Nothobranchius furzeri: one gene and its partners. The protein of the gene in region 2 interacts with the protein of the main gene of each other region in a pairwise test. Links are inferred from orthologs where the notes say so. Each region holds a gene or a part of one and is shown on either strand. Other genes may lie near its edges. The genes, in order: trim54, airim, rnf41, rint1, stx11a, tfip11 and kifc3.

Region 1 (4,202 bases), on a different chromosome or scaffold from region 2:
GGCATGATGGACAGCGGAAGCGTCCGCTGCTGGAGGAGCCTCGAGGCTGCCACAGAGGGTTGGTGGCCTGGTTGAAGACAAAAACTGGTTTTCTTGGATTTTTGTTAAAAGACATTTTATCATTTATCTTAATGATAAACAGGAGGCTGTTTAATGGGTTGAGGTTAGTCAGCTGGAGTCATTTTTAAAACGATGATTCTCAGGAACATCTTATACGCTTTCTAAGTTTATTACATCGACATATGTCGATGTAATAATAAATATATATATGTATATATGTTTATTATAACAAATAATTTATCTTTAAATCATAAAATGAAAACAATTAAAGGAACCTTCACTCATATCAGCATTGGAGGACTAATTCAAACGCTTTCAAGGTGATTTAAAAAAAAGTGTTTTTCAAATAGTGATCTGACTTTTTCACCACAACAAATAAGAGTTATTTTTTTATGTTTATGATTTTATGGCTGTTTATGGTGATAAATAAAACAACAAAGCTACAATGATGTGTTAATATGCAGAAAGGCACCCTTTTGTCTGAATCTGCTAAAATGAGCCTTTTTAGGGCCTGTAGCTTGGAATTAGTGTTACCATGGCAACGCTTTTAACAAACAGCCACAATAAAAAGCACCTCGAACTTGACGGAGCTCAAATACAAGCATGCACCTGCACACACTGTGCATCACACTGACTGGCTCGGTTGGAAGAAGTGGTAAATCACTTTTAATGACAATTTGAGTTACCATGGCAACAGTATTGCCAAAATATACATTACAAAGCAACTCTAGCTAAATGTAGTTGCTCTATGTCAATACCGAAGATGTTTATGAAGTTCTTTGCACTAAATCTCTCTCACATAAAGCAATTTCAGCAGTTTTATCATTTTCAGTACTTTCCAAAATGAGCCATTTCAGGGCTCTGTCACTTTGAGAAAACATTGCTGGCCACACCCACCAATTTCCTGATTGGTCCCTATGAGGTGAGGAGCTCAAATATCCAACAGGGGCTCAGAGTAGAGCTGCCGCTCCTCCAGAGTCGACATGTGAAGGTATTTCTATGCTTATTTGCCCATTTTTGAAATCACAATCTGGGACTTCTTGATTTTAGGCACGTAATTCCTGAAACCAACGACGGACAGAACATGGATGGATGGGGTCTTCCTGCCTGGACTGTTTATGGAGTCCGTAGACTCACGACGGCGCAAAACAAATGCAGAAGGTGAGTTTTGCATAATTTGTCTCCTTTAAATCAATCATCTATCAGAGAAGGTGTTTGCTGCTGAAGTTCAAACTGAGCATCAGAATAGAGATTTACGGTGGAATGTTGTTAGTACCAGGCATGATGGTCTGATCTACCAGGATTTGAACCCACAACCATCTAGGGTCTACAGAGGCTGGTCAGACTGGTTCTTGATGATTGAAAGACAGCAGTGGTTCCTTTAGGACCACACCAGCTGCTCCAGGTGGACTCCAGCAGCAGACGACCACACCAGGTGTCAGCTAAGAACATGAAACTGAGGGTAAGTCCCACAGGATCACCAGAACTGGATCAGGGGTTCTGATGAGTCTACCTGTTGATCTTCATGCTCACCTGCAGGACGTCGTTGGCACACCCACGACACAGGTTATGCTGGCAGGGCAGGATCACCACAGGTTTAGAGAACATCTCCAAGCACACGGGGCAGATCAGCTGTTTCTCCAGGTTCTCCATCGTGGTTTTGCTACGGGTACCGGGCTCAGAACTTCCAGGTGTTGGAGGTTTGAACCCAGAAGCAAAGCTCATTGCCTCAGATGGCGAACAGGTAAAGATTCTGCTGGCGTTTGTGAGATGTTTGGTTTTTATTGTAGATGTGACTCTATTCTTCCCCCTCTGAAAGCCCGTCTGGCTCGGATTTACGGACCCTCCCATCAGATATTTTTAGCTCTAGTGTTTGTTCTGGATCGGGTTTCTGGGAGCTCCGGGTGTGGCAGGAGGGTCACCACTATCAGAACTCTCTGTTGATGTTTCCATGAAGTCCGACACCTCAGAGAAGATCCTGGAGACACGATGACAGACGTTCCTGGTTGTTAACACTTCAGATGATTCCTTAAACCCCACAGCTGATTCCTGACTGGTCCCAGTTAAACCAGCCCACAACTCACTTCCTGTTTGCTCAGATTTGGGAGAAAATAGTAAAATCTTGTTGTTTTTTTTGTTTAAATCCTGAGTTCTTCTCCTGAACTGACTCAGAAGTTTTATTTTGTTCATAATTTTATTTTTTTATGTTTCAAAGAAAATCTTGAGTTCTCTGTGAATGGTTGTCATGACAACACGAAGAGTTCATTTAGATTCCTGCAGTGATTAACAAGATTATCTATGAGATGTAATGCTACACGGCATCATATCTAATCATCTTTGTTCTGAGAACGTCCAGCTGATCAGAGCCACAGACATCCTAAAACAACTCTGACTCAGTAAATTCATTTTTATCTTTTGTTTTCCTCTTAGGAGACGCTAAAATTAGCTCTAGAATGTTTGATGGCGTCACTCAGGAGGATGAAAATAAAGCAGGACGAGATGCTGAAACAGAAACACGAGACGCTTCCCTCGACTGAAACAGCTGACAGGATCAATTTAAAGTTTGTTTTTATTTAATTTGATGTCATCAGGAGGAGAAATTAGTTTGTTTCTCTGAGAGAAACAAAGAAATGATCAGAGGAGATGGAGAGTCTGGATCTATCCCAAACTCAGACAGCTGCTGGTGTTGTAGGTGAAATCTGAGGTGTAAAAGGTGAACAGAAAGGGTGAGAGCGCCGTACCCTGTGGAGCTCCAGTACTGCACACAAAGGCACACTTGGCAGTTTTGCTTACCTTTAGCACCCCCTAGTGTACGTATTAATTATCTTTGGTCAAATCAATAATCAAACCTATCTTCTTGCTGTGCATTCCTCTTTTTAAATGGACACTTTAAAACTTTTTCATACTTTTAAATTATTTTCTTGAGCCAATGCTAAAATAACCCTTTACAGGGTTAATGCCCCCATCACCCCCTGTGGTCAGACCATCGTGTTCCGGTCTGTTGGGACTTAGAAAAAATTGAGCTGACCTACCGGGCGCTGCTGTCTGGTTCCAGCATGTTTTCGATCATGAACACAGCTGATTTGTTTCGTTTAGTGATGACTCACTCCTCTAGACACTTAGGAACTCTGGGAGACATTTTGGCTGTTAGATTAAAGTGTTAAAAAGAAGAATGCACAGCGAGATTGGTTTCGCTTCAGACTATAGGGGGTGCTGAAAAGCAAGCCTATTATTTCTTTAACGCATGCCCCCCCCCCCCCCCCCCCCAACTTTTTCCAAAGTCAAGTTTTGACCCCTGCACTTTTTACCATCCAAAGACAATATTACGCTATATTAAGTTGACACTGGTTGAGCTCTAGGACCAAGCAGAAAACAACCATTGTGTTGAAGCCTGTTTCCCATTAGAACATACTGTGAAGACCCCCCCCCCCCGTGTCCCCCCACTTCTAAAGTGAAAATTATGTCCATGGTTGTGAGTCATCACTACATCAACAAATCAGGTGTGTTCATAATCTAAAACATGCAGGAAATGTGCTGGAAGCAGACTGAAGCACCAGGTATGTCAGCAATTTTTCCCCCCAAGTCCAACAGGTGCCCAGCAGTCCGAAGTTGAAGGTCTGAGCGGCATTTCATTAACCCTGTAATGGATCATTTTAGCACATACTGACTCAAGAAAATTATTTAAAAATATGAAAAAGTTACATAGTATGGCTTCAAATACAGAACAGAAGGCAGAAAAAATATAAGTTAAATAACAATCTTCACTGACAAACCATTTTATATAATAATTTCATGGAGGAGGCCATCGGCTAGCACACTGCTCTGTGTGTGTGTGTGTGTGTGTGTGTGTGTGTGTGTGTGTGTGTGTGTGTGTGTGTGTGTGTGTGTGTGTGTGTGTGTGTGTGTGTGTGTGTGTGTGCTCTGTCTTCTCCATCCCCAGTGAGTCATGGTGGATGGCTGCTTATACTGACCCAGGATCCTCTGGAGGTTTCTTCCTGTTAAAAGGGAGTTTTCCTCTCCACTGTCACTAAATGCTTGCTTAGTATGAGGATTGCTGTAGTTTTGGAATGTTTACTGTGTGAAGTGCCTTGAGACGACTCTTGTCGTGATTTGGCGCTAAATAAACTTGAATTGAATTGAAC
Region 2 (3,157 bases):
GTGTTCTGATCCCGGTCTCCTGGACCGCCAACACGGTGGTCCAGGACTTCTACAACCCCAACGTTCCCGTCATGCACAAGCGGGAGCTGGGTCAGGCCATCTACCTGGGCTGGGCCGCCGCCGTCATCCTGATGATCAGCGGCGCCGTGCTGAGCAGCACCTGTCCGCTGATGGAGCGGGGCGGCCGGTACCGTCGCGGCTACGTCGGCCGGAGTTTCGCCAACTCGCCCGCACCGGAACCACCGAAACCCATCATCTCCAACAACGTCCCTCTGAAGGAGTACGTCTAGGGGGGGGGGTACCACTAACAGAGTGACCCTTTATTTATTTATTTATTTACACACAGGACTGTGTGTGTGAGTGTGTGAGTGTGTGTGTGTGTGTGTGTGAGAGTGTGTGTGTGTGTGTGTGTGTGTGAGAGTGTGTGTGAGAGTGTGTGTGAGAGTGTGTGTGTGTGTGTGTGTGTGTGTGTGTGTGAGTGTGTGTGTGTGTGTGTGTGAGTGTGTGTGTGTGTGACAGAGACTGAACTATTTGGCGTGCTAGCTTGTTAGCGTGTGCGGTGCAGGCTGTAATCTCTCCAGATCTTCACACAAACTTCTGGTTTTCAAATAAAAGCGTTTGACATTAAGAGCTGGAAGCGTCTTGTGTCCTCGGGTCGGGTCGGGTCGGGTCAGCGAACCCTCGCTAGCTCACTGAGGCTGGATGAAGAGAGAGAGTCTGCAGAGTGAATCTGAAAAGAGACAAAATCCAGCAAATCGGACCGTTGGGAGACCTGAACATGGGGGTGGGCTCTGGTCCACGTGTCACGACTCACCTGTGATCTGTTGATCGGCACTCGGAGACTCCAGAGATTTCCACCTTTTGGGAGCAGATTCCAGCAGAAGGAGTTGGTCCGGCCTCAGCGTCTGCAGCAGAGCTTTCCTCTGTAGGAATCTGAAGATGAGTTCAGGGAAACGACAACAGCAGGATAACGGGAATGCCAGGAGGCCCACAGGAAGGATACTGCTGCCTGTAGAAGCGCTCAGCGTCCTGGATCCACTGCAGCATGTCGGCCAGAGACGGGACGGTGGCCGAGCGCTCCGTCAGCATCGTCAGGTCCACAGAACTCTGCTGGTACTGCTGCAGGAGAGCAGAGGCCTGGCTACTGATGGAATCTCTGATGGACTGCAGACGGCACCTGGAGGAGGAACACAACACATGGACCGTCAGAAGATGGGTCACGAGCTGCTTCACAATAAATAACTAAAAAGATGAGAATAAAATGGGAGAAACAATTAAAAAGTAAGTGGATCATAGTTATAACGTCCAGCTAAGATGGATAGCCAACGCGCATGCGCTCCATCATAACCCTGGAACGGGTGTTGTTCTACTTCTGACCACTAGATGTCAGTATCACCCCGAAGCTCCGATTATTGATGACAATAACTAACGCTGACGTACGTTTATTTCCCGCCAGCGTGGTTCTGAGGGCTCTGACTCACATGTTCTCACCGAGCCTCTGGAGCACCGTGTCCGCAGCCTGCAGCAGCTTGACCCGCAGCAGCTCCTCCAGCTGCGGGAAGACTCGGAGCGGCGTGTCGAGCAGCTGGACGCGGGTCAGCGCGCTCATCTGCTCCGCCAGGTTCCCCAGAGCCTCCATGAGCGGGCTGCACTCCTCCAACACGCTCCTCCAGACCTCCCGCTGCTTCTCCAGACTCACGAAGCTCCTCCTCAGCGCCTCCTGCAGCGGCTCGGACATGCTCCGGTTCTCCTGCTCGAACCCGTTCCTACTTCACGCACGTCTCCACGCGGCAGCTCACGTCTAGAGCCCGCTTCCGGTCTCCGGATGTAAACAATGACTTATGATGCGTTCAGGGCACCTCAGAAGTCCGAGCTCTCACTCGAGCTCCATTTCAACTCCATCACCGTTGACCATATAAACAACACGTGTGGGGGGTGCAGTCGTTAGGGTGATCTAAACTCTAGTCCTGTGATTCATTTGTAGTCGGCAGTAATTCTAAATGATGCAATTTTAATGTTTTATATAGTCTAAAGACAGGATTACGTCATTTGACAAACACGGAATTCAGCAAAGTTACGGCTACAGTTCAAAAGTATGTTTTATGTAACAAGTGTAGGAAATTCCTACTTTATACGTTGTCAGTGAACGTAGCATGGAAAAGATCCAGTAGTTAGGAATGTTTTTATTTATCCATGAAGACAGCAGTGCGTGTCGGAACATAACGTACACCCTGTTAATAAATAATAAACACAGTTTTAATGGCGCTTAAACACGTTAAAGACCACAGCGTTTATTTTCCACCCTTTACATTTAACAATGTTCAGTTTTACAAACGGAATAAAACTACTGAAATGAAAGAATGAGCTTCAGTAAACTTTGTTCTTGTAAAAGAAAATGATAGAATGAACACATTAATCATTCAGTAACAATCTTCCTGTTTATAACACGTAAGTCAAAACCTACACACACCTATTCATATTTAGCTGTTCTTTAAGTCCCGATCAAGGACCAATTCATAAAGATATTGATCCAATAGAAACTCACAACGAGGAAGAACGGAACGTTTGTTGGTGAAACAAAGTTTCCGTCAGAGCTCTGCGTGCAGCGCGAGCCACAGAGACAGCTGTTGCCATAGATATGTATATATAAACATTTATGTTTATATAATAAACATAAATACAACACATAAACATTTATGTACATATGGCTGTTGTCACCGAGTACCCTAATAACGTGACTGTTACTACACCCCAAGCCACGTGATGGCAGTAATGCACGTTTGCCAAGCGCTGGTAAACGCCTCAGTGTTGTGACGCAGTAAAAACGTACGTCCTCATTGGCTGACGTGTCCCAGCGCAGAATTTTAAAACGTCTAGTAGGAAGAAGTAAGCGGCAAAAGAAACGCAGGTGACTTTTCTCTAATTTAAGGCTGATAAATCGGATTAAAGTGATGTTTTATCAATTTTATAAGATGTGTGAATAAATGGTCGGTAGAAAAATCCGCGCGAAGCCCTGATGCTAAATAACTAGCTAGCGCAGTCAGCGGATAACGTCCTCGTGCCTGCTCTTTTAGCTAAAGCTTATCTTCTGTGAAACGGTTTCAGACTCTCTGGACTAAATCCTTCCACTCCGCGCTGACATGGCTCCACGGAAGAG
Region 3 (4,263 bases), on a different chromosome or scaffold from region 2:
TTCTTCATAACTTCTCAGTTTACTTTTAAATTCTGAAAAAGTCATGTCATCATCACTTTGTGTCACATGGATTCTAAAAGGCGTAAATGAGTCAGGTAGACCTTTTAAAACCATTGCTATTAGCAGTCCATCGCTCAAAGTTTCACCTGCGGTTCTCAGCGCTGTAATGGCGGCCTCGGCTCTCAAAACATAATCCGTTACACTCTCGCCGCTCTTCTGCTGTAATGCAGTCAGTTCTGTATATAAGCTTATTATGCGGGGTTTTCCCTTCCCGGCATAGTGTTCTCTCAAGATAATTAGAGCTTTCCGCCCGTCGTCAGCTGCGTCTCTCATCACCAGTGAAAGGCTCTTATCATCCAGGAATTGTATAAGTTCGGCATATGCCTCTGCGTTCTTTGAATCATATTCCTCATCATCGTCATCGTCTTTCGGTTTTAATATAATGTCTTTCAAACCTTGTAGCCGGAGGTGTCCGAGAAACTTTGTTTCCCACAGTTCATATTTATCCTCGTCTCCGTCAAATACCAGTCTTGACCAGCGGGTACTGGCTTCCACTGTCTTCCGACTCATAGTGTCCGACACACGTCGTAGCTCTCACTCGACTCACCGGACTTGCTGTTGGTCGGTTCTGTGCTCCTCACACGCTAGCAGGATGCTTTCCCAGCTGTCCTGATTAGCTTGGTGCGCAGCGGAAGCGTGCTGGGCCCATAACCTGTTAGCAGAGTTTCGTTTACCCAGCGGTTGGTCCAAGACTCCAAAATGAATCTCCAGGATTAAAAAAAGGAGGAAATAAATCCATAAACAGAGCGTCTGTTTCACGGGCCTTCACTGGTGGTAGCACACACTGATTGCGGCCACTAAAACACCAATGCTCCCTTTTATTGGTCAATTTACGAGGTCAAAGTTTAACTTCCTCTACAGGTACTTTTCAGTATAAAAGCATACATGTATATACACACACACACATTCTTATTTACAAATTTACACAGATGCATAACATAACAGAGCATAACAGAGCACATTAGACTGATGCTTAACAATTATTTCACAAAATTGATCCATTTGAGGCTTTTTTATTGGATGAAATCATAATGGAGGAAATGTATTGTCTGAGCTCTTGAAAACAAACAAACTTTTCAACATGGCATTTAGCTTACATTATTATAATATTAATGTGTTTTTTTAATCTCAATGTCATTTCTGAGGAACCCAAATAACACATTTCTCCATTATAACTTGAAGTCCGGATTAATGTTTATACAATTATTTACCCAAAACTGATTAACAAACAGACAATTAAAAAAAGAATGTACAAAGAAACAGCAGTCCGTTATGAAAGTTTTAACCGGATAAGGACATTTTCGACAGTGTTAGTGATTAACATTGTTTCGGTAAGAGAGACATTTTTCATTATAAAATTCACTTTTGGGATTTCTGCAGTTTTGCGTGATGACGTTTCCCCTCGTGTCGATTGAGACGTAGACTTGTATGACGTAGCACCAAGACGTGATTAGCAAGGGGCTAGTGTTGGTACGACGTCTGAAAACAGCCTGAATTGTGAAAAGGATCTATTTTACTCAATGTCTGAGTAAGTATATCAGTCAGCTGTTATATCTTGAGCAGTGCAGCTGACTGTAAACAGCTATTGGTGTGTGAAGTTGTCTCTAACGGAGGTCAGTCTGGTTAGCTTATAGCTAATGTCCAAAGGAAACCAACGACAGCGTAGCCGCTAGCTGGGCTAGCTAACGTTACATATTCAGAAATCGTGACAGTCAAACTGTGCTGCTGTACTTTGTAAACCATTAAGATATTTTTCTCTTTGACGCATGTTTACGTTATTAAAAATCAAGTTTTTACGATTTAGTTTAAAGTGTTATTATATGCGTGAAGATAACATTGAGAAACCTCGATGCTCAGCTAAGTTTTGTGCTCCTTGCTCTGAAATATGATGGAAACATGTTGATCTCAAAGCTGTTTCTTTTCATTTTTTGGAATCATTCATTTGTTAACCAGGACAGTAGATAAATATGTTTATTGTAAAATCACGTTGAAAAGTCAGCCTGAGGATGTGAATATGTATGAAAATGGCTACGCTCAATTTAAAGTTCAAATTCTTTATCCTCCAAAAAAACTGTCGGTATGGTAAATTTTTTTAGAAAGTACTTAATCTCAGATTTCAGCTAGTTAAACTCATTTGAGTACATTGTGTATACGTGATATGGGATTTAATGTTCTTGCATATGTGGTTTACAATCATCAGACTAAAAGTTTTTTTTTAAATGCAATAATTTTTTCCTTTTTATTCAGGCAGGGTCTGTGTCTTTTTAGGCAGGCAGAGCATTTCTGCCAGATGTGAGGAATCGAGGAGCTGAATGGAAATATTTGAGGCAGTTTGTGTTTGAGGTAAACAAGATGTTCTAACCAGAACTGTAAATTATTATTTTGACAAAATGTCAATCATTTTTTGATAGTAATTATTCATAGATAGTGTAAAAAACCCTTCTCATCTTAGTTTTAGCCAGGTTTGTTTCACAGTACTGGTATTTAGTAGCGTAGCAAGTGTATAAATGTAAATGTAAAAAAACAACCACACACACATATATACAAACAGTGAGCTAAAGAATTAGTTACTGTACTATATTACATTATCTTTCTGAGCACTCCTTTTCTATGGCCGTCTCCAAGTTTAGGTCCTTCACCACCACCCTTACCCATGGTGTCCCACAAGGTTCTCTGCTCTTCCTCCTCTATCTGCTTCCTCTTCAGCACATCCTGAGCTCCTTCAAAGGAATATCCTACCATCTTTATGCAGATGACATCCAACTGTACATCTCCTTTAAGCCCCATGAGATGTCTAAGCTGCAGCTGTTACACACCTGCTTAGACTCTATCAAAACCTGGATGGCTGGGAGCTTTCTTCAGCTGAATGAAGATAAGACTGAGATCCTCATCTGTGCCCCAGACAAGCTGGTTCCCAAAGTCAGAGACTCTCTTGGTCAGCTTGCTTCCCACACCAAACCTTCTGTCAGGAATCTTGGCGTGACCTTTGACCCAGCTCTCACCCTGGATTCTCATGTCATTTCTCTTGTTTGCTCTTCCTTCTTCCATCTCAGGAACGTTGCTAAGCTGAGTCCCATTCTGTCCCGCTCTGAACTTGAGACAGTTCTCCACTCCTTCATCTCCTCATGCTTAGACTACTGTAACTCTCTTTTCACGTGTCTGAGCAGAACCTCCCTGAACCGTCTACAGGTGGTTCGGAATGCCTGTGCTCGGCTTCTGACCAAGTCCTCCAAACACACCCACATCACTCCGCTTCTCCTCCAGCTTCACTGGCTGCCAGTCAACTTCAGGGTTCATTTCAAGATCCTGGTTCTGGTCTATAGGGCCTTACATGGACAAGCACCATCTTACATTGGTGATCTTCTTAGTCCCTACACCCCCAGCAGGTCCCTGAGGTCCGGTGATCAAAGCCTACTGGTTGTGCAGCACCAGACTAAAGACCAAAGGTGACAGATCATTTGCTGCTGTGGCCCCCAGACTCTGGAACTCTCTCCCCCTGAGCCTGAGATCAGTGGACTCAGTGGTCTCCTTTAAAAAGCAGCTGAAGACTCACCTGTTCAAGCTGGCTTTTGTATGACCTTCTTCACCTCTCTCTTTTTGTTCTGCTCTCCCCACCTATTCCACCTTCCTCAGGATCCACTGATTTCCCTCTTTCCTGTTCACTCTCTCTCTTTCTTAACATTTTTTAATTACAATTGCCCATTTTTTTTGCTCATTTAAAATATATTTTTAACCATTTTCTAAATTCTTTTTTATATTTTTTCATTTTTTGTTTTTGTGAAGCGCCTCGTGATTTTTATCTTGAGAAGCGCTATCGAAATGATATTTTCTTCCTCTTCATAATAAACAACATGATGAAACATGTCACCTTCTTGTGTTGAAATCTGTGTAAAATACTTTCGGTTTGGGGGGGGGGGGTGAGATTAAATAATTCAGCATCTCAGAAGCCCTTTTACAATACACACCGCCTTAATCTTATAAAAAGGACACGATTGCACCACATTACCGCCACAGTCTGACCACTTATGAACAACCTAAGGCTCCCTGATGCTGCCACGGCATTGCGGCAAATTAATGGCATTGTTTTGTAAAAATGGCTAGAGTGATAATAGAAACATTTGCTCATCAGGTTGCAGTACAAGCATTGCCAAGTATCTCCATTTCTGCTTTCTGAAAGGCATCTGGGTCATCCATTACAATACG
Region 4 (4,112 bases), on a different chromosome or scaffold from region 2:
ACATTCGACTGCAAACTACTCCAGCAAAAGCTCAAGATCACGACCCGATGAAGCCAACAGGACTACATCGTGCAAAAATCAGTGACCCTGATCCTTGGGCCACCAAAATGGATTCCCTCAACATCTTGGCTGTGTCTAGAAATCCTGTCCACAAAAGTTATGAACAGAATTGGTGACAAAGGGCAGCCTTGGTGGAGTCCAACTATCACCCAGAACGCTGTTACTGCCAGCAATGCAGACCAAGCTCTGGCACCGGTCATACAGGGACCGTACGGCCCGTATCAAGGGGGCTGGTACCTCATATTCTCATGGTAACCCCCACGGGACTCCCTGGAGGACACGGTTGAACACCTTCTCCAAGTCTACAAAACATATTGGGCTGGTCCAGTGTTCAACAGCCAGGACCAAAACCATATTGTTCCTTCTGAAACCAAAGTTCAACTATCTGACGGACCCTCCTCTCCAGAACCCCTGAATAGACTTTACCAGGGAGGCCCAGTAGTGTGATCCCCCTTTAGTTGGAACACACCCTGTGCTCCCTCTTTTTAAATAGAAAGAACCACCGACCTGGTCTGCCAATCCACGAGACTGCCCCCGATGTCCATGCTGCATGGTGGCACAGTTGTTAGCACTGTTGCCTCGCAGCATGAAGGTTGCAGGTTCGAAACTCAGCTGTGGCCTTTCTGCGTGGAGTTGCGTCTTCTCCCCATGCATGCGTGGGTTTCCTCCAGGTACTCCGGTTTCCTCAACAGATCCCAACATGCCCTATAGGTTATAAATTGTAAGTCGCTTTGGATAAAAGCGTCTCTTAAATGAATAAACATAAACATGTAATATCAAAGTCCCATTAGTTGTCACACTGGTGTGTGAAATTTGTTCTCTGCATTTGACACCCATCCCTGGGGGAGTGGTGAGCTGCAGACAAAGCTGTGCTCGGGAATCGTTTGGTGGTTTATCGCAGAGCCACTTCAACGCAACCCTATATCCAGGAACTCTGGGTGAATCTCATTCTTATCCATCGTGAGACATTGCCATTGAGCAGCTTTTGAATCGCCTTGGTGACCTCAGCGTCATTAATTTGAATTTTTATTATTTATGTACCTTTTCATTGTTGGTATTACTGTTTATGTTGTGTTGTCTGTTGTTTACTGCATTATAAGCAAATACTTTAATTCTGTAATGTTTTCACTGTAAATAAAGTTTGGTTAAAGAACCCGAAACATCTAGTGTTTTTAGACAAGAGGATAGGGGTCTGGTGTTGTTTTGGTACCTTCCCTTTCCCGACAGCAGGGGGCAGTGGTGAGTTGTTCCTCACTGTGCAGCGTGGCGGTGTTGTCAAAAATAAAGATGGCGACGGTACCAGCTGTAGAGTCTTTTCGGCATTCTGTCCGTGACATGGATCAGGATCCGGACTGTTTCGGTGATGGTTCTGGGACCCAGCTGGACTACGGACTGGGTTTTTTGGAGCAAGAGTTTGGCAGCGAACTGATGTCTTTAGAAGCCGTTAGTGAGCTGCTGGAGAAAATGAAAACAGAGACGGCGTTGGTGGAGGAGCAGGTACCGAACCTGAACTTTATTTACTACACGGTGTTTTTAAAGTTAACGAATTAGTGTGTAACAGCGAGCTGTTGTGGTTAAAGTCAGCTGTTTGGTGGCATTCTGGTGGATTAGGTGTGAACCTAAAGCACATTAAATAAGATTTAAACAAATGTTTTCACAATGAAGGAGATGAACTAAATAAAAACTGCTTCAGTGGATAAGACCTCACAGTTCATCATCTATATTTCACTTGATAGAGTTTTAAACATTAAAAGAACTGGAACTCTTGTGCATACATATACAATTTTAATCAAAGACCACTGTGCTGACAGGTCAGGGTTCATAGCCACTAACTCACGGGTTATTAATTTATTCTGCAACCTGAACTCAACCACATTAAATAAAAATGTGTTTTTTTGCAATCTGAAAGATTAGAACAATGTTTTGTCCTTTAGGTTCTGGCTGAATGGGATTGCATTGTTTTTGCTTTCCAGGTTCTGAGTGTGTGCAGTTCTGTTCCTCCCAAAATCTCAGCATCCCTGTCAGCTGCAGAGGAGGTCCGGTGTTCCTTGGAGGACGTGCTGCAGAGAGAACAATCTGTCTCCAGTCAGCTGCAGCAGGTAGAAACTGCAGAAGCTCAACAAAAGAGCAGATTTCAATCTGAAGTAGCAGAACGAACATCAGAGTTGTATTTGATCTATCCCATACAAGATCTGAAACACGATCTGAGCTGAATCATCTATGCTTGTTTAAGGTGTTCTGTGACAATCCCCACTGTAATCCAGGGATGTTTTACTGATGCTGTTAAATATTCTGATCTTCCAGCACCTGCAGGGCACCCGGCAGTTGATGGATGACCTAGGGCAGACATTTAACCATGTAGACTCTATGGAGAAAAGCATGAAGTATCTAAAGTGCCTTCACTACATAGGAGAGCTCAGGTAGGGTGATTAGAGGCTTGGAGACATGTTGGTTGAGGTTACAGTGATGCATCACTGAGGTTTAAAACTGCTCCTCATTTCTGCTGCATAATGTTAATATTATGTGTCTACAGTGCTTCAGTCCAGCAGTTTCTGATGACCAACGGTGTCTGGGAAGCTATAAAAGCTGTAGAGAGCATGGCGGCTCTGGACTCTGGCCTCAACCAGTCAGGATGTTCCCACCTTGTGGAGTTTCTCAGGAAAACGCTTTGTTTCTGGCACAATATCATCAAAGAACAGCTGTCCAGGTATGGCTCCATCAAATCCCAACCAAGACTGGGATGTTTTTGTCTTCTTTCATCTACTGTAAAAGCTGATTCTTTCTTTTTAAACCTCTTTAGTGATTTTGAAAACGCATTGACTCAACTACACTGGCCAATTGTCTCAACAACATCTCAGTCTGCGACACCTCCTGCAGGTCAGGAGGTCAGCAGCCATGTGGAGGAGCTGGTGACTCAGCTGCTGGCCCTGCAGACCTCGTATCCTTCTGGACACAGATCCAATAGGATCTTGGGGACTGTCTCCACACATTCATGTGCTCAGTTTTTTTAACCATGTAAATGTGTTTAGTTTCATCAGGTGAGATGTTTAGCATTATGTCAGGACACCATAATGATCTGACATTTGTCTTTGGTGGTGAGAGAGCAAGGCTTCTAACTCTACACAACCTTTAATCTGTAGTTTTGCATTTGCTCATGAGTTTTTATTTAGTTAGTATCTCACTGGGCTCTGTTAGCGAGACACTGGCATCACCATTCAGAGTGAGTTTTCAGAAGGTTATCCAAACATTCAAGTGTTCTTGGTTCCTTCTTGTGATTCTCAGGGCCTGACTCTGTGCCTAGAAATTTTTAAATGTTCAAAGAATTCTCAAGACAAATTCAGCCAACACAGCCGTTGTAATTAAGTACATAGCACTCATCTCAGACAGAAAATCACAACGTGCTTCACATGGATCAAAACAAATCATAAAGTCATAAAATCATAATGATCTTAAAACAGAAATGGATTAAAATCTGAAAAATAAAGTCTAAAATAATAAAACACCATAAAACAAATGAAAAATTATTACAAATTTGAGTTAAAAATAAGAAAATAAAAGATTTAGGTAAAAGCAGCTTTAAATAAAAGGGTCTTCAGCTGATTTTTAAAAGTGTCCAGACTGTCAATGCTGTGTAAGGATAAAGGAAGATCATTCCAGAGTCGGGGTGCAACAGTCTGGAACTTCTAGAAGGTTCTGGTGTGTGGACCTGAGGGCTCGGGTTTGAGCATAAGGCTTTAACAGTTCAGTAATATAGGGAGGAGCTTGACCATGTAGAGCATTGAAAGTTATAGTCAGTATACTAAAATGAACTCTAAAGTTAACGGGTAACCAGTGGAGAGACATTAGGGTTGTGAGCTCTTGTGTTTGCTCCAGTTAGAAGCCTCACTGCAGAGTTCTGGCCCAACTGAAGGCGGTCAAGGTTTTTCTTGTTAAAACATGTGAAAAGTGTGTTAAAGTAATCTAGTCGGGAGGAGATAAAGGCATGGATGACCATTACAAGTTCATGTTTTGACACCAACCTTCGCAGTTTGGAGATATTTCTTAAATGATAA
Region 5 (4,029 bases), on a different chromosome or scaffold from region 2:
AGTATACAAACAAATTGCATACAAAATTGAACAAAGAAGATGAAACATATGCCAGGGGGTGCACTACAGAAATGTTACACACATCCAAATAAATTACAGGTGGTGCAAATAGTTATAGTTTTTAAAGCTTTTTTGTTTAGTGATCCACTAATCAATTTTATGCAAGATAGAGTGTCACTATAATAGTGCTTGAAATTAGGTTTTTGGTTACTATACTTGCATTTGTGGAGATAGAATTTAGCTAGATTAACAAATTTATAACAAAGTATACATCTTCCTTTCTCTGCTTGCGAAAAAAATACAGCATTTTCCCATTTTAAAACGAAGTCCTTGCAGAGCTGTCCGATAATAAATCTGCTAAAGTCTTTCCAAAACGTTGTAGCATGTGAACAGATCCAGAAGAGGTGGGATTTGTTGTTTTATTTGGTTGTGGAGAGTAAAGATTTTCTGTCCTCTGCTGGAAACAAGTGGGTACTGCAGCGTTCAATACAGCGTTTAGTCCAATTTACAGGAAAGCCAGAGCGTCTTCACTTATATAAACTACTAAAACGCAATAAATCAATTTTAGTTATCTGTGTTCAACTCGATTAAATCAAGGAGCTGCAGCAGGAGCTAAAAGCAGCTAGCCACAGCACAGCAAATAGAGCAGATCTACCGCCCTCTGGCGGCCACAGGGCGAAACTACACGGCAGAAGGGTTTGTTTTTTGGCAATGTAAAACAGTTACGAAATTTTACCAAACTAATCAAACATGTCAGATATAAAAATATTGGTTATGAGTTCAACAGAACAATAAGCACCCAATTGCATCTAATAAACACTCAAACATTGATACATAGATTTTTTAAGGTCCTTTTTTTGTTTCAAACAGGAAAAGCATTACGTCTTTGGATTTCACAATGAATGTATGAAATACTCAAATAAATAAAATAAAAACAAATACTAATAAAAAACGCATGCTAAAAAGCTACTGAAAATCTGAGTAAATCACAACAGCTGATTTAATTTGATGAATTTGTTTATTCAGAAAAATGATATATGCAATCAATTATAATTACGTAACGTCATTTTAACATTTCTAAATCACCCTTATTCACAATACATTTTAAGTAAAAGCTTTGAGTTCAGGAAGAACTTCCATTCGGACCCCTTTGATGGAAGTTCTTCCTGAACTCAAAGCAGGGTTTGATCTTCCGCGTAGTTGGTCTCGCGGCGTCAGGAGGCTGGTGACACTCACACCTCTTTACTCAGACTGTGGTTGATGTTGGTGAAATGTCTAAATGTAACCGAGACACAAAGAGGAAACGGGTCTTTCTTTTCTTCTGTTTCTAAGGAGAGTTCTCTTTAGGAGGGCACCGCCATAAGGTACGTTTACTTCTCTGGTTTTATCGCCTCAAGTAACCTGGCGTAGTTTACAAGACTCCTCTTAGTTTCTTCGTTTACCTCCTCCCATCAGATCACTAGATGCTTATTCGTTTCTGTTTTGTTCATAAATACTTGAAATAGTTTGAAGTAGCTACACAATGTGAGTAGCATGTGGAGGACAGATGAGACTAACTAGCAGCTGAAAGCGTCACAATCTGAGGAAGTAACAGAGCAGTTTCCTTTTGTAGACATTACCGCCTGAAATTATTTCTAAACCATCAGTTTATTTATTTATTTAATTATTCATTCATAACCAGAGAAGCGTCCACACCTATTTTATCTTATCGCAACTCAATCAAAACTAATTAAAGTGAGAGCAGTAGCAGCTTTATGACGAGATAAGTATAATAAGAGTTGAATGGTTTTTAATTAGGTGTGTTTATATGGTTGATCATCATTTCTGTAACCAGGAAGAATTTGGTCGAGTCCAAAATGCATAAAGATAAAAATGAGACATTTTTGAATGATTGCCCCACTTTTATTGTTTCCAAAAATAAAATGGTCCATATTACGTCACAGCCAGTGAGTAACAGCAGCAAAAAGCTGATTCTAAATGTGTCATAGCAGCTTATAAGAGTTTAATTAGGATCTGTGTTTTCTAGGAGGGCTCTGGTCCAGCTTGTTGTCCGAAGGCCACCTCTGGTTTAATGCACCAAATAAGACTAAATGTTACCACATTTCTCGGATCACTTTGAAGATCTTACATAATTTCGAGGAAGCTTAAAAGCCCGTCTCGTGTTGATAATCATGGCCACATGATGATCAGCACTGTTCCTCTTTTCTGCAGCGTTATTATTTCCTGACAACCTGAGGAACCTCCTAAGATGCTGCTTAAAAGAGTGTTGTGTCAGATATCTGGAGTCAGTCTGAAAGCAGATCTTGTTTTTATTGTACTCTATTACTCTCCTCGTCTCTTAAGTTACTCAGAAGACAAAACTGCAAACTGGGCCTCAAAGATCTTTGTCTTTTGGAGATATGTCCAGCTTCCGCTCATCTCAGAGCGACGGAACATTTCATATATTTTAGAAAATAACAGATCGAACTGACTCTTGCTGCAGGTGAAATGAAGGACCGACTATCTGAGCTGAAAACCGTCACCCCGGAGCCTGCTGAGGAGGAGCTTAACACAGTCTTTGAGGATGAGGAGGTCGCAGAGTCACTGGCCATCGTGTTTCAAGGTGAAGATGTGATGGACGGCATCTACAAAGATGCCCAGATGATGAGGAAGGAGCTGCAGCTGCTGAAAATTGACGTGAAGCGTCTGGCGAAGCAGAACACGCGGTTCCTCACGTCCGTCAGGAGGTTTAGCAGCATCAAGCGGGACTCTAACGCGCTCGGCCGGGACATCAAAGCCAGGGGGGAGGCCATCTACGCCCAGCTGGAGAAGCTTGGAAAGCTGAGCAAAAAGCTTGGAGAGGAACACGGCTTCACGTCGGCTCTGTCTCGTATGGTGCGCTCACAGTACACTTCTCTGACTCGGGCCTTCCACGAGGCCATGTCTGAGTACAACGAGGCCGAAATGATCCAGAGGGAAAACTGTAAGACCCGCATTCAGAGGCAGGCGGAGATCATGGGCAAGGAGGTGACCAGGGAGCAGCTGGACGAGATGATCGAGAGCGGGAAGTGGAACGTCTTCTCGGATAATCTCCTTTTGGAGGGGAGGACTACCAGATCTGCTCTGAGCGAGATAGAGAGCAGACACAAGGAGCTGCTGGAGCTGGAGGGTCGCATCAGAGACATCCACGAGCTCTTCTCCCAGATGGCTCAGCTGGTGGAGGAGCAGGGCTGCATGCTGGACAACATAGAAGCAAACGTCTGCTCTACTCAGGACTACGTTGCCAAGGCAACGGTTCAAATCACACAGGCTAAAGAATACAGTGAAAACAACCCATGCAAGAAACTCTTCTGCTGCTGCTTCCCGTGCTGTAAATGATTCTTGGTCAGATTTAAACTGGAACTCTTTATAATTTTCCTTTTACGGGGTCAGCGTCAGACATCTCACTTCATTTTCACGTACTGTGCTGGTCTGAGAAGGAGGAAGAGTCATTTCAAACCGCGCTGTTCACATACAAATGCATTCAGTTGTAATCGAGTTGTTGCATTTCCTGATCGTAACTGATTATTACTTTCTGCAGCACCCACATGACTCCACGTCTCATCAAAGATATGTCATTGCAGCTTTTTATGTCGGGTAATGCATGTTTCATTCAGTAAAACTTGATTTATTTCTAAATTACTGCTTTGGAATGAAACGGCGACCATTAAAATGGGAGAAAAAAAAACAAAAGCTGGAGCTGACGTTGCTGCAGCTGTTGGCCAACAAGTGTGTAGAAACACAAATATTAGTGGTTAGCTGGGAGATAAGCTGCGTTCGTGTTGAACAACAAGCCTCGTTTTGCTCCAGCTTTATGCCGGAGCTTTTGTTGCTTCATATGAGATTAGCTCCAGCGTCTGGAGTCTGATTGGTGTCATGTTACATCCACACAAGCTTTTCTCTCAGGCGTGTACCTGAATCAGTGTCAGTACAAACACTCAGAGCCAGAGCAGGGGACTTCCTGTTGGTACCAGAGTTCTTTGGTAATCTGGATTTTTTCTCAGATTAGGG
Region 6 (4,066 bases), on a different chromosome or scaffold from region 2:
GATATCCTCCAGACAATAAGAACTGTCCTGAAAAGATCAGAAAGCGTTCAAGAATTAGCTTGGATATTAATCATTTACTAAAAATGTGGTTTCCTCTAACTGTAAAAGACTACCTTCACAGGGTCCCAGGAGGAGAGTTTCTCTTTAAGCAATGGATGAATGACAGCCACAGCCAAATCTGCCAATCCCATCATCTTGTATTCCTCATAATAATCGGTTTGTAATGTCTCAAAGATCTGGGCACACTCCTGAAGAGACAAGCACTACAAATCAGCTTCACAATTATGAAATATAAAGCTGGAACTCCTTAATTTGAACAGCTTGCAGACCGGCTCCAGTCAGTGTTTGTAACACAAACCTGTAGGGTCGGGCCCTCTCCCGGTGCCGTCTCTTCAGAAGGAAAACGCTCCACTAATGCTAAGACAGCTTCCATTCTTCGGATGGATTCTTGCTCTGACTCCAGTCTGCTCTGCAAAGCTTTTGACTCATGGCTCAGAGAAACAACCACGTCTTTTTCATGCTGCAAACGTCTGGCAGACTACAAAAGATGCACAAAAAAAAGAAAGAACGCTTTAGTAGAGATTACAAGTTCTTCACATTTTTCTCAGGTTGCTGACTTATTAATATCCTATTCTTGTAGCTAAATATGTTGTAAATAATTCTTGGTTTCCTCTTACCTGTAATATGTTTTGTTCTGTCAGGTCTATCAGAAGCTGCAGATTATGCTCAAGTTCGGGGAGAGCAAAGCCAGATACCTTTTGATCCTGTGAAGCCAAGCTTGGTGGAGCTTCATCGGGAACACTGTGTTTGTGAGACATCTGACTATAACTGTAGTATACCTTCTGCTCTCTTCCAGTCATATCTATTACCTAGACCAAGGGAAATGTCAGGATAAATAAGTACTATGAATGTAGCCAAAATGTACTTAAATTACTGATGCTTAATAAAACACTGAATCCTCAATTTTGCACCTATGCAGCCATGCCAACATAAAAAACAAACAGCACACAAGTGAAACATAAACATACCTTGACCTGTGCCAGCTCTCCTGCAGTTGCAGATGTGCTCCGACTCACTATTTTACCTTTAGCCTTCAACTCATCTGCTGTTCTGTAAGAGTACTTGGGCTTCTTTTTTCCTGCAGGCCCAGCTGGATCCTTACGCCACTGGCCAAGTTCCTTCTGAAATTCCTATATAAAGATATAGAAAATTACCACAATGACTCTATAGACTCATTTGATCAATAAAATCAAACACAAAAATAAAAACAACATTGTAAAGACAATTTTTTTTCTCAGTACTTTACCTTCTCCTCTTCTTCCTCTGAGTCAACTACAGGAAAGTCCTGAAGACTCTGCTGGGTTCTTTCATTGCCATAAGCACCAACCGCTCCTTTTCCCTTACGGATCTTTGCCTCAATGGGGTTTATGATACCTACAGAGAGAAAGTACATTACAAGTGTTTCAATTCCACCACATCCATGTAAAAAACAAAACATTTTACAACATTTTTAAAAGAACAATCTAAGTCAACTAAACACACCTTGAGCATTCTTCCCCAAGCCTTTCCCTGGCTGGTAACCCATCTTCTGCAGAAGTTTCTGTCCAATTCCTTTGGTGTGTTTCTCCCAGTTACCAATTCCTTGTCCAGACTGTATTCCACCTGCAAACCTCTTAGACTGATTTCCACAGAAATTACCCTAGAAAAACATTTTTTCCCAACATCATTATTTTCACTATTTTCTTCTACAAACAATGGACATCACAATGTGCGCACATTTAAAAATTACCATCTGGAGTTTTTTGGGTGCAGTCACGCGTGAAGGGGGGAGTTTTGCAGAAGTATCATCATCAGAGTCGTCAGAGCTGCCTTCTTTTTCCCGCTCTTTCTCTTCAGCAGCACTCTTACGCAAACCACCACTCACAAAGCTCACAGGTACAGTGTAGTCTTTGGATCTAAAAAGAAATCATAAATATTTTATTAGAACATTTGGTTAGAAATTGTTTCAGAATTGGAATTTGTGTCAAAAGCAAGCCATTTATACTTCTTGCCACCAAAGCTGGGCCTTTCATCTTCATCAGAATCCTTCTCGGCCCAGATGCCATATGTGGCCTGCTCCTTGCTCTGCCTGAATTTGCGACGGTCTGGGTTGAACTCATTGGCTAAATCCCAGTCAGTAATCTCAAAACTCTCCACCTCCACACCTTCCTCTTCCTCCTCCCTCCGCCCGTAAAGGTGGGACATTGACATCTCTGCAAGTTATAAACAATATAGATCTTAATGAAATGTGACCGAATCCTAAAATTACACGTGCATTTATTTTCCAGGAAAGAAACATTGTGACTTCAAAATCAGGAAAAAGATGCATATCTAGTTTATTAAAGGCAAAGAAGAGGGAAATAAAATGCGATAACTAAGTCAGGTATGAAGTCAACGTTTGTGGTTTAACTAACGATAAATTAATAATGACAAAAAGGTTTACAATCAATAACGATGAATACACAAATAAGACTAAACGTGAAACATCGATTATAAAACTATACAAATCTGCTTAGAAGAAAACGGAGCGAAGGCTAATTACTAGCAATAACGCACGTTCTGTAGCATTAATGTAAATACACACAACATGTTAGTAGTGATAAAAAACGACGATTTCGTTTAAGTTAACTTACTAAAATATTAATTACAACCTTGGTCTGAGATCAAAAACACATATCTTATGTGGTAATAAGACGAACTGCAGAGACACGAACTGTTGACGAATGATATATTTTTGTCAAAAGCAAGTTCTTCCGGTTTAGCCGTGTCACTTCAATTAATGTACACTACAAATAATTTCATTAATATTTTAAAAGCAGCTTAATTAAAACCAACCATTCAACACATACATTTTTATAAAGCGGTCAATATTTTTTTTAAAAATAAAAACAATCGAACAACAGCAAATCTGTTGAATTTACGTGACTTTTAACTAGACGGAAATCACACCGGAAACAGAACAATGTGTTGCACTTGAATAGGTCATCTGCGTTTCCATTTTTAGCTTTCAGCTCTCAAAATGCTAAATTTGGTTTTGAGTTCCATGTTTTTATGATACTTACGTTTGGAAATGTATGTACTTATGTAAATTACATCTGGCAATTCACACAAATGTCGTACATATCCGATGAATGGCAGGTAGCTCGGCGTCGAAAAGGTGTATGTAGGCAATTTAAATCTCATCAAGTTCCTCTAAACTCACCATCATGCCATCAGGAGCAACTGGATGTTGGAAAACTCATCAGAAGAATCAGAGACAACATGTAAGAAGTTACGCACACACACATGTATGTATGTATGTATGTATGTATATATATATATATATATATATATATATATATATATATATATATATACATATATATATATATATATATATATATATATATATATATATATATATATATATGAGTAACAATATTTATCTTGCATAATAGGTGAAATCATACATCTTCCCATAAGTTATTGGTTTGCTTATATCTTTCCTTCTTAGGTTTGAACTAAAGTACGAAGATTTTTGGAAAGACTGGAATGGTGAGTTTGTTGTAGATATGTAGGTTGAGTTAAGCTTAGTTATTTAGTGGATCATCTTCTCTTCAGAGAATTTCCAGGCAGCAGCAGCATCCCTAAAACCTCCAGGGGACAGTGACACTGAAAATCAGCTGGAAAAAGCCCCAGAAGAAACACTGATGTGTGTTTGTTATGGTCTTGGGTCTTTTTCTTCATGTGTAGCCGCTCGCTACCAACTTGCCATGTTGCTGCTTCTTCTGGATGCGAGACAGGTGAGAAGATCGACTCCATCTGTGTTATAAATGATACTTGTGAAACTCTGATGCAAAATATGTGCTTTATTGCCCCTGTCCATGTAGATTTTACTGCGGGACTGCTATGTTTATGATCCTGCCTTCTCCTTTGCTGAAAAGAATGTCTTAAGAGAGCTGGGTTTGACTGTACTCACAGAAAATGAGGTCAGTTGACAAGAGCTTGAGTATTTTTGAAATAAATAACAGTAAAACACTGTTTTCAG
Region 7 (4,010 bases), on a different chromosome or scaffold from region 2:
TTCTGCCCACTGATCCACAACGTCCTGAGTCAACACATTCTCACACCCAAGGCGTCAAAATATGACGCGTGTGATCAGGCCTCAATATATGACGATTCGGGATGCCCTAGCGCGTCAGGAGACGATGATCAGGGACACGCTAGGACACGTGGCTCTGCTGGCGTCACTGTTTGACGCGGGCGGTCATACGGACATTATTCAACTATTTAACCTTCCCCTCACCCCAATCCTAACCCTAACCTTAAGGTCCATAAACTGTGACCTTAAGGTTAGGATTGGGGTGAGGGGAAGGTTAAGTAGTTCACAAGTAGTTCTAATGTCCGTCTCAGCACCAGCGTTGGATACCGAGCTCTGGGACGCTGCGTCAGCAGTTTCTCCCTGATCGTCGTCTCCTGACGCGCTGGGGCGTCCTGAATCGTCATATATTGAGGCTTGGTCACACGCGTCATATTTTGACACCTTGGATGTGAGAATGTGTTGCCTGAGTAGAGGTCAGCAGCACACCGTCCCCACTATAGATATTGTTGGTAGCGCACTGCTTCTCCCCCCAAGGCGCCGGATGGTGGACCACAATCTCATCGAAGCCGTATGGAAGTCTTGCTCCATGATCTCACCAAACTCCTCCCATGTCTGGGTTTTTGCCTTGGCGACCACCCGAGCTGCGTTCCGCTTGGACTGCCGGTACCCGTCAGCTGCCTCTGGAGTCCCACAGGCCAAAAAGACCTGATAGGACTCTTTCTTCAGCTTGACATCATCCCTAACCGCCAGTGTCCACCAGCGGATTCGGGGGTTTCCACCACGACAGGCACCGACGATCCTGCGACCACAGCTCTGGTCGGCCGCCTCAACAATGGAGGTATGGAACAGAGTCCATTCAGACTCAATGTCCCCCGCCTCCCCCGGAACATTTTGGAAGTTCTGTCGGAGGTGGGAATTGAAGCTCCTTCTGACAGGAGACTCTGCCAGACGTTCCCAGCAAACCCTCGTGATGCGTTTGGACCTGCCTGCTCTGACCGGCATCCTCCCCCACCAACTGAGCCAACTCACTACCAGGTAGTGGTCAGTTGACAGCTCCACCCCTCTCTTCACCCGAGTGTCCAAGACATGCGGCCGCAGGTCAGATGAAACAACAACAAAGTCGATCATCGAGCTGCGGCCTAAGGTATCCTGTTGCCAAGAGCACATATGGACACCTTTATGTCTGAACATGGTGTTCATTATGGACAATCCATGACTGGCACAGAAGTCCAATAACAAAACACCACTCAAATTCAGATCGGGGGGCCGTTCCTCCCAACCACACCTCTTCAGGTCTCACTGTCGTTGCCCACATGAGCGTTTAAGTCCCCCAGCAAAACGAGGGCGTCACCGGAGCGAGCGCTTTCCAGCACCCCCTCCAAGGTCTCCAAAAAGGGTGGGTAGTCTGAACTGTAGATTGGTTCATAAGCACAGACCACAGTCAGAACCCGTCCCCCCACACGTAGGCGGAGGGAGGCTATCCTCTCATTCACAGGGGTAAACCTCAATGTACAGGCACCAAGATGGGGGGGCAACTAGTATGCCCACCCCTGCTCTGCGCCTCTCAGTGGGAGCAACTCCAGTGTGGTAGAAAGTCCAACCCCTCTCAAGGAAAATGGTTCCAGAGCCAGAGCCATGCGCTGAGGTGAGTCCGACTATATCTAGTTGGAACCTCTCAACCTCACACACCAACTCAGGCTCCTTCCCCACCAAAGAGCTTCTGTAGCCGAGGATCAGACCGACAAGGTCCCCGCCCTCGACTACCACCCGTCACACACTGCACCCGACCCCTTTGGCCCATATCTATTAAACCTAAAATGTTTTTTGAACCAGGCTGTAAACATGTTTATTTCTGCTGTGAAATTAGCATTTTTTACATGGGAGTCAACGGGAACTTGCTCTGCTCTGGTGCCAGCCCCTAGCAGATGAGGGTGGAACTGCAATTTTTGCCACTCCTTGTTGGCTTCAAAAAATTCAGACTAAAATGGCCCTTCGTGCAGAACCCAGCACAGAACCAGCTGCCTAGATCACTTGTTCTGGAAACCAGAAAAAATAAAATTAAAACAGCTAAAAATATACTCACACATGCGCAAACTTGCTCAACAAAAAGACAAGGCTACGCAGACCGATTAGGCATGATTGATGCAGCTCTTGAATTTGGACACTTATGGTGAAGTGTCCGGCCAAAGGACACAACTACGATCGAAACGCAGTTGGGGTTTGAACCGGCTACAGGGCGAACTCCTAACCCTTGAGCCACCGTCACTAAGTGGAGAACTCAGCTGTGAACTGGGACCAGCTCACTTCAAACTGGCCAGACTGAGAAGTAAGGCTGCACAAGGGTTCATGGAAGTTCTGAGGACAAAGACCATTTTCTGTCTAACACCCCCTTTTCTATCCTGATTTGCAGAAATGTTTAAAATCTCAGAATATTTCCAGACCTTGACCTCCTCACCTCAACTGGCCTCCTGCTGGATGAGGAGACACATCGTACACGGACCCCCTTCCTCTTCCTCACAGCCTTCACGCCACTTTGTCCTGGTCCATTAGCATCACCTCCATGCTCTGAGCTACCTTTGAGTTGGTTGTTGCTCCTCCTGAGGAGGCTGTAGAGTGTGAGCAAAACCAGCATGGAGAGGACCAACATGTTCCTGTCCCACAGGTGAGCTCAGCCTGGGACAGGATCCAGGTGAGTGAGGCACACAGGTGTCCCGTAATCCTGTCGCTTTCTCATTTATTCCTCAGCTGTCTCACCTCTGTCCTGGTCCCGTCCCTACCCTGCCAACGCTGTACTTCCACAGAACTGATAAGAACACATGAACCTTGTCCTCCTCTCTGTTATTGTTGTCTAATCCACAGGTAATCCTCCATTAAAACTTTAATTCTTTATTTTTACCTCAAGCTCGGAATGACTGTTGCCTGTGATGATGTCAGGAGAGGTGCATTCAGGCTTCAAGTCCTTCGAGTCATTTTGAATTTGGCTTCAACAGTTTCCCCCACTGTTGTTTAACAAGGCGGACAAAAGCCTAAATATTTTACACGTATACTTGATTTACCATAACTCTGCAAAGGTTTCAGCCATCAGAAAAATTCAAGCGTTCTTTTTAAAAGAGAAGTCGCACTTTTAAGTACACATTACAATAAAATGCATTACGCTGTTGCAGGAAGCCGGCTAATCAGAATGTCTCACATGCACAAGAGGGTAAGTGAGGGGCAGAAAATGAGCGAAACACACCCACAGCTAGGGCTGGGCAATAAATTGAAAATGTATCATCATCGAAATTTCTGACTCTTATCGAGATCATTGTCCCCATGTCAATAAATCTGATAATAAAAAAATGAAAAGATGTGTGCAGGTTGGCAACATTCATGTCCACCTCGAGTCTCGTAAAAATGTGACTCAACGTAATACATGTGACAGCCCCATCTAGTGGACAACTTTTGTTTCTACACATACCTGTAGTTAACGTCCATTTATCGCCATTATGGTGAACTCCTCAATATATCGTGATATTGATTTTAGGCCGTATCGCCCAGCCCTACCCACAGCTATAAATATCATTGGCCAAATTGCACCCTTAAAAAATAAATAAAATTGTTTTCATTCCCTAATGCGCTGCTTTGTCAGCTCAAGTGTCTGACTGCTGCAACCAAGTGGGTCTCTATTGCCTCCATTACTGGGTCTCACATGGCGTAGCGTCCACGTCACCAAATGCATTACTCTGTTGACTCGGCGTCAAAATCCCCAAACTCTGTTCCATCTACGGTTGTTGTAATCACTCTAGTCATGACAAGCACAAATGTTTTTTTTCGTGTCCCAAAAGTAGTGAGCCACAAAAAACCCAATTTAAAAAATCTTACTGAAAGAGGACGACAGAAGTGGACCTCCGGCTAAAGCCTGATTCATGCTTCTCCGTCAGCTCCAAAAGGGAGAGACACGCACGCACGGGCGGAGATGTTTTGCCCTCATACTTCTCCGTCTCCTGGGGAGT

What was found.
Region 1: the proteins of airim (region 2) and trim54 interact in binary tests that used the Homo sapiens proteins (3 or more experiments, as listed by UniProt). The two-hybrid records come from large-scale screens. The link is inferred for Nothobranchius furzeri from reciprocal best matches to the Homo sapiens genes AIRIM and TRIM54.
Region 3: the proteins of airim (region 2) and rnf41 interact in binary tests that used the Homo sapiens proteins (3 or more experiments, as listed by UniProt). The two-hybrid records come from large-scale screens. The link is inferred for Nothobranchius furzeri from reciprocal best matches to the Homo sapiens genes AIRIM and RNF41.
Region 4: the proteins of airim (region 2) and rint1 interact in binary tests that used the Homo sapiens proteins (3 or more experiments, as listed by UniProt). The two-hybrid records come from large-scale screens. The link is inferred for Nothobranchius furzeri from reciprocal best matches to the Homo sapiens genes AIRIM and RINT1.
Region 5: the proteins of airim (region 2) and stx11a interact in binary tests that used the Homo sapiens proteins (3 or more experiments, as listed by UniProt). The two-hybrid records come from large-scale screens. The link is inferred for Nothobranchius furzeri from reciprocal best matches to the Homo sapiens genes AIRIM and STX11.
Region 6: the proteins of airim (region 2) and tfip11 interact in binary tests that used the Homo sapiens proteins (3 or more experiments, as listed by UniProt). The two-hybrid records come from large-scale screens. The link is inferred for Nothobranchius furzeri from reciprocal best matches to the Homo sapiens genes AIRIM and TFIP11.
Region 7: the proteins of airim (region 2) and kifc3 interact in binary tests that used the Homo sapiens proteins (3 or more experiments, as listed by UniProt). The two-hybrid records come from large-scale screens. The link is inferred for Nothobranchius furzeri from reciprocal best matches to the Homo sapiens genes AIRIM and KIFC3.

The regions. Positions count from the first base shown.
Region 1 is NC_091742.1:14,248,886-14,253,087, reverse strand, and holds the start of trim54 (tripartite motif-containing protein 54), read right to left. Parts: upstream 2,801-4,202; 5' UTR 1,912-2,800; coding exon 1,594-1,911; intron 68-1,593; coding exon 1-67. UniProt on the Homo sapiens protein: May bind and stabilize microtubules during myotubes formation.
Region 2 is NC_091759.1:26,720,645-26,723,801, reverse strand, and holds airim (AFG2-interacting ribosome maturation factor), read right to left. Parts: upstream 1,848-3,157; 5' UTR 1,739-1,847; coding exon 1,482-1,738; intron 1,178-1,481; coding exon 1,004-1,177; intron 934-1,003; coding exon 815-933; intron 731-814; coding exon 690-730; 3' UTR 501-689; downstream 1-500. Other genes in the region: cldn35 (claudin-4), read left to right, coding at 1-290; cdca8 (borealin), read left to right, coding at 3,141-3,157. UniProt on the Homo sapiens protein: Part of the 55LCC heterohexameric ATPase complex which is chromatin-associated and promotes replisome proteostasis to maintain replication fork progression and genome stability.
Region 3 is NC_091755.1:37,149,527-37,153,789, reverse strand, and holds the start of rnf41 (E3 ubiquitin-protein ligase NRDP1), read left to right. Parts: upstream 1-1,463; 5' UTR 1,464-1,588; intron 1,589-2,307; 5' UTR 2,308-2,403; intron 2,404-4,263. Other genes in the region: uncharacterized protein, read right to left, coding at 1-570. UniProt on the Homo sapiens protein: Acts as E3 ubiquitin-protein ligase and regulates the degradation of target proteins. Polyubiquitinates MYD88. Negatively regulates MYD88-dependent production of pro-inflammatory cytokines.
Region 4 is NC_091741.1:64,278,013-64,282,124, reverse strand, and holds the start of rint1 (RAD50-interacting protein 1), read left to right. Parts: upstream 1-1,312; 5' UTR 1,313-1,347; coding exon 1,348-1,557; intron 1,558-2,033; coding exon 2,034-2,159; intron 2,160-2,364; coding exon 2,365-2,480; intron 2,481-2,593; coding exon 2,594-2,767; intron 2,768-2,860; coding exon 2,861-2,998; intron 2,999-4,112. UniProt on the Homo sapiens protein: Involved in regulation of membrane traffic between the Golgi and the endoplasmic reticulum (ER); the function is proposed to depend on its association in the NRZ complex which is believed to play a role in SNARE assembly at the ER.
Region 5 is NC_091758.1:20,330,308-20,334,336, forward strand, and holds stx11a (syntaxin-11a), read left to right. Parts: upstream 1-1,229; 5' UTR 1,230-1,364; intron 1,365-2,482; 5' UTR 2,483-2,487; coding exon 2,488-3,357; 3' UTR 3,358-3,734; downstream 3,735-4,029. UniProt on the Homo sapiens protein: SNARE that acts to regulate protein transport between late endosomes and the trans-Golgi network.
Region 6 is NC_091757.1:45,000,280-45,004,345, forward strand, and holds the start of tfip11 (tuftelin-interacting protein 11), read right to left. Parts: upstream 2,801-4,066; 5' UTR 2,691-2,800; exon of another isoform or gene 2,673-2,690; intron 2,253-2,672; 5' UTR 2,251-2,252; coding exon 2,045-2,250; intron 1,956-2,044; coding exon 1,790-1,955; intron 1,700-1,789; coding exon 1,543-1,699; intron 1,435-1,542; coding exon 1,307-1,434; intron 1,191-1,306; coding exon 1,029-1,190; intron 870-1,028; coding exon 678-869; intron 539-677; coding exon 359-538; intron 249-358; coding exon 114-248; intron 28-113; coding exon 1-27. Other genes in the region: srrd (SRR1-like protein), read left to right, coding at 3,091-3,302, 3,533-3,573, 3,640-3,821, 3,909-4,007. UniProt on the Homo sapiens protein: Involved in pre-mRNA splicing, specifically in spliceosome disassembly during late-stage splicing events. Intron turnover seems to proceed through reactions in two lariat-intron associated complexes termed Intron Large (IL) and Intron Small (IS).
Region 7 is NC_091749.1:65,919,630-65,923,639, reverse strand, and holds the start of kifc3 (kinesin-like protein KIFC3), read right to left. Parts: upstream 2,801-4,010; 5' UTR 2,666-2,800; coding exon 2,474-2,665; intron 1-2,473. UniProt on the Homo sapiens protein: Minus-end microtubule-dependent motor protein. Involved in apically targeted transport. Required for zonula adherens maintenance.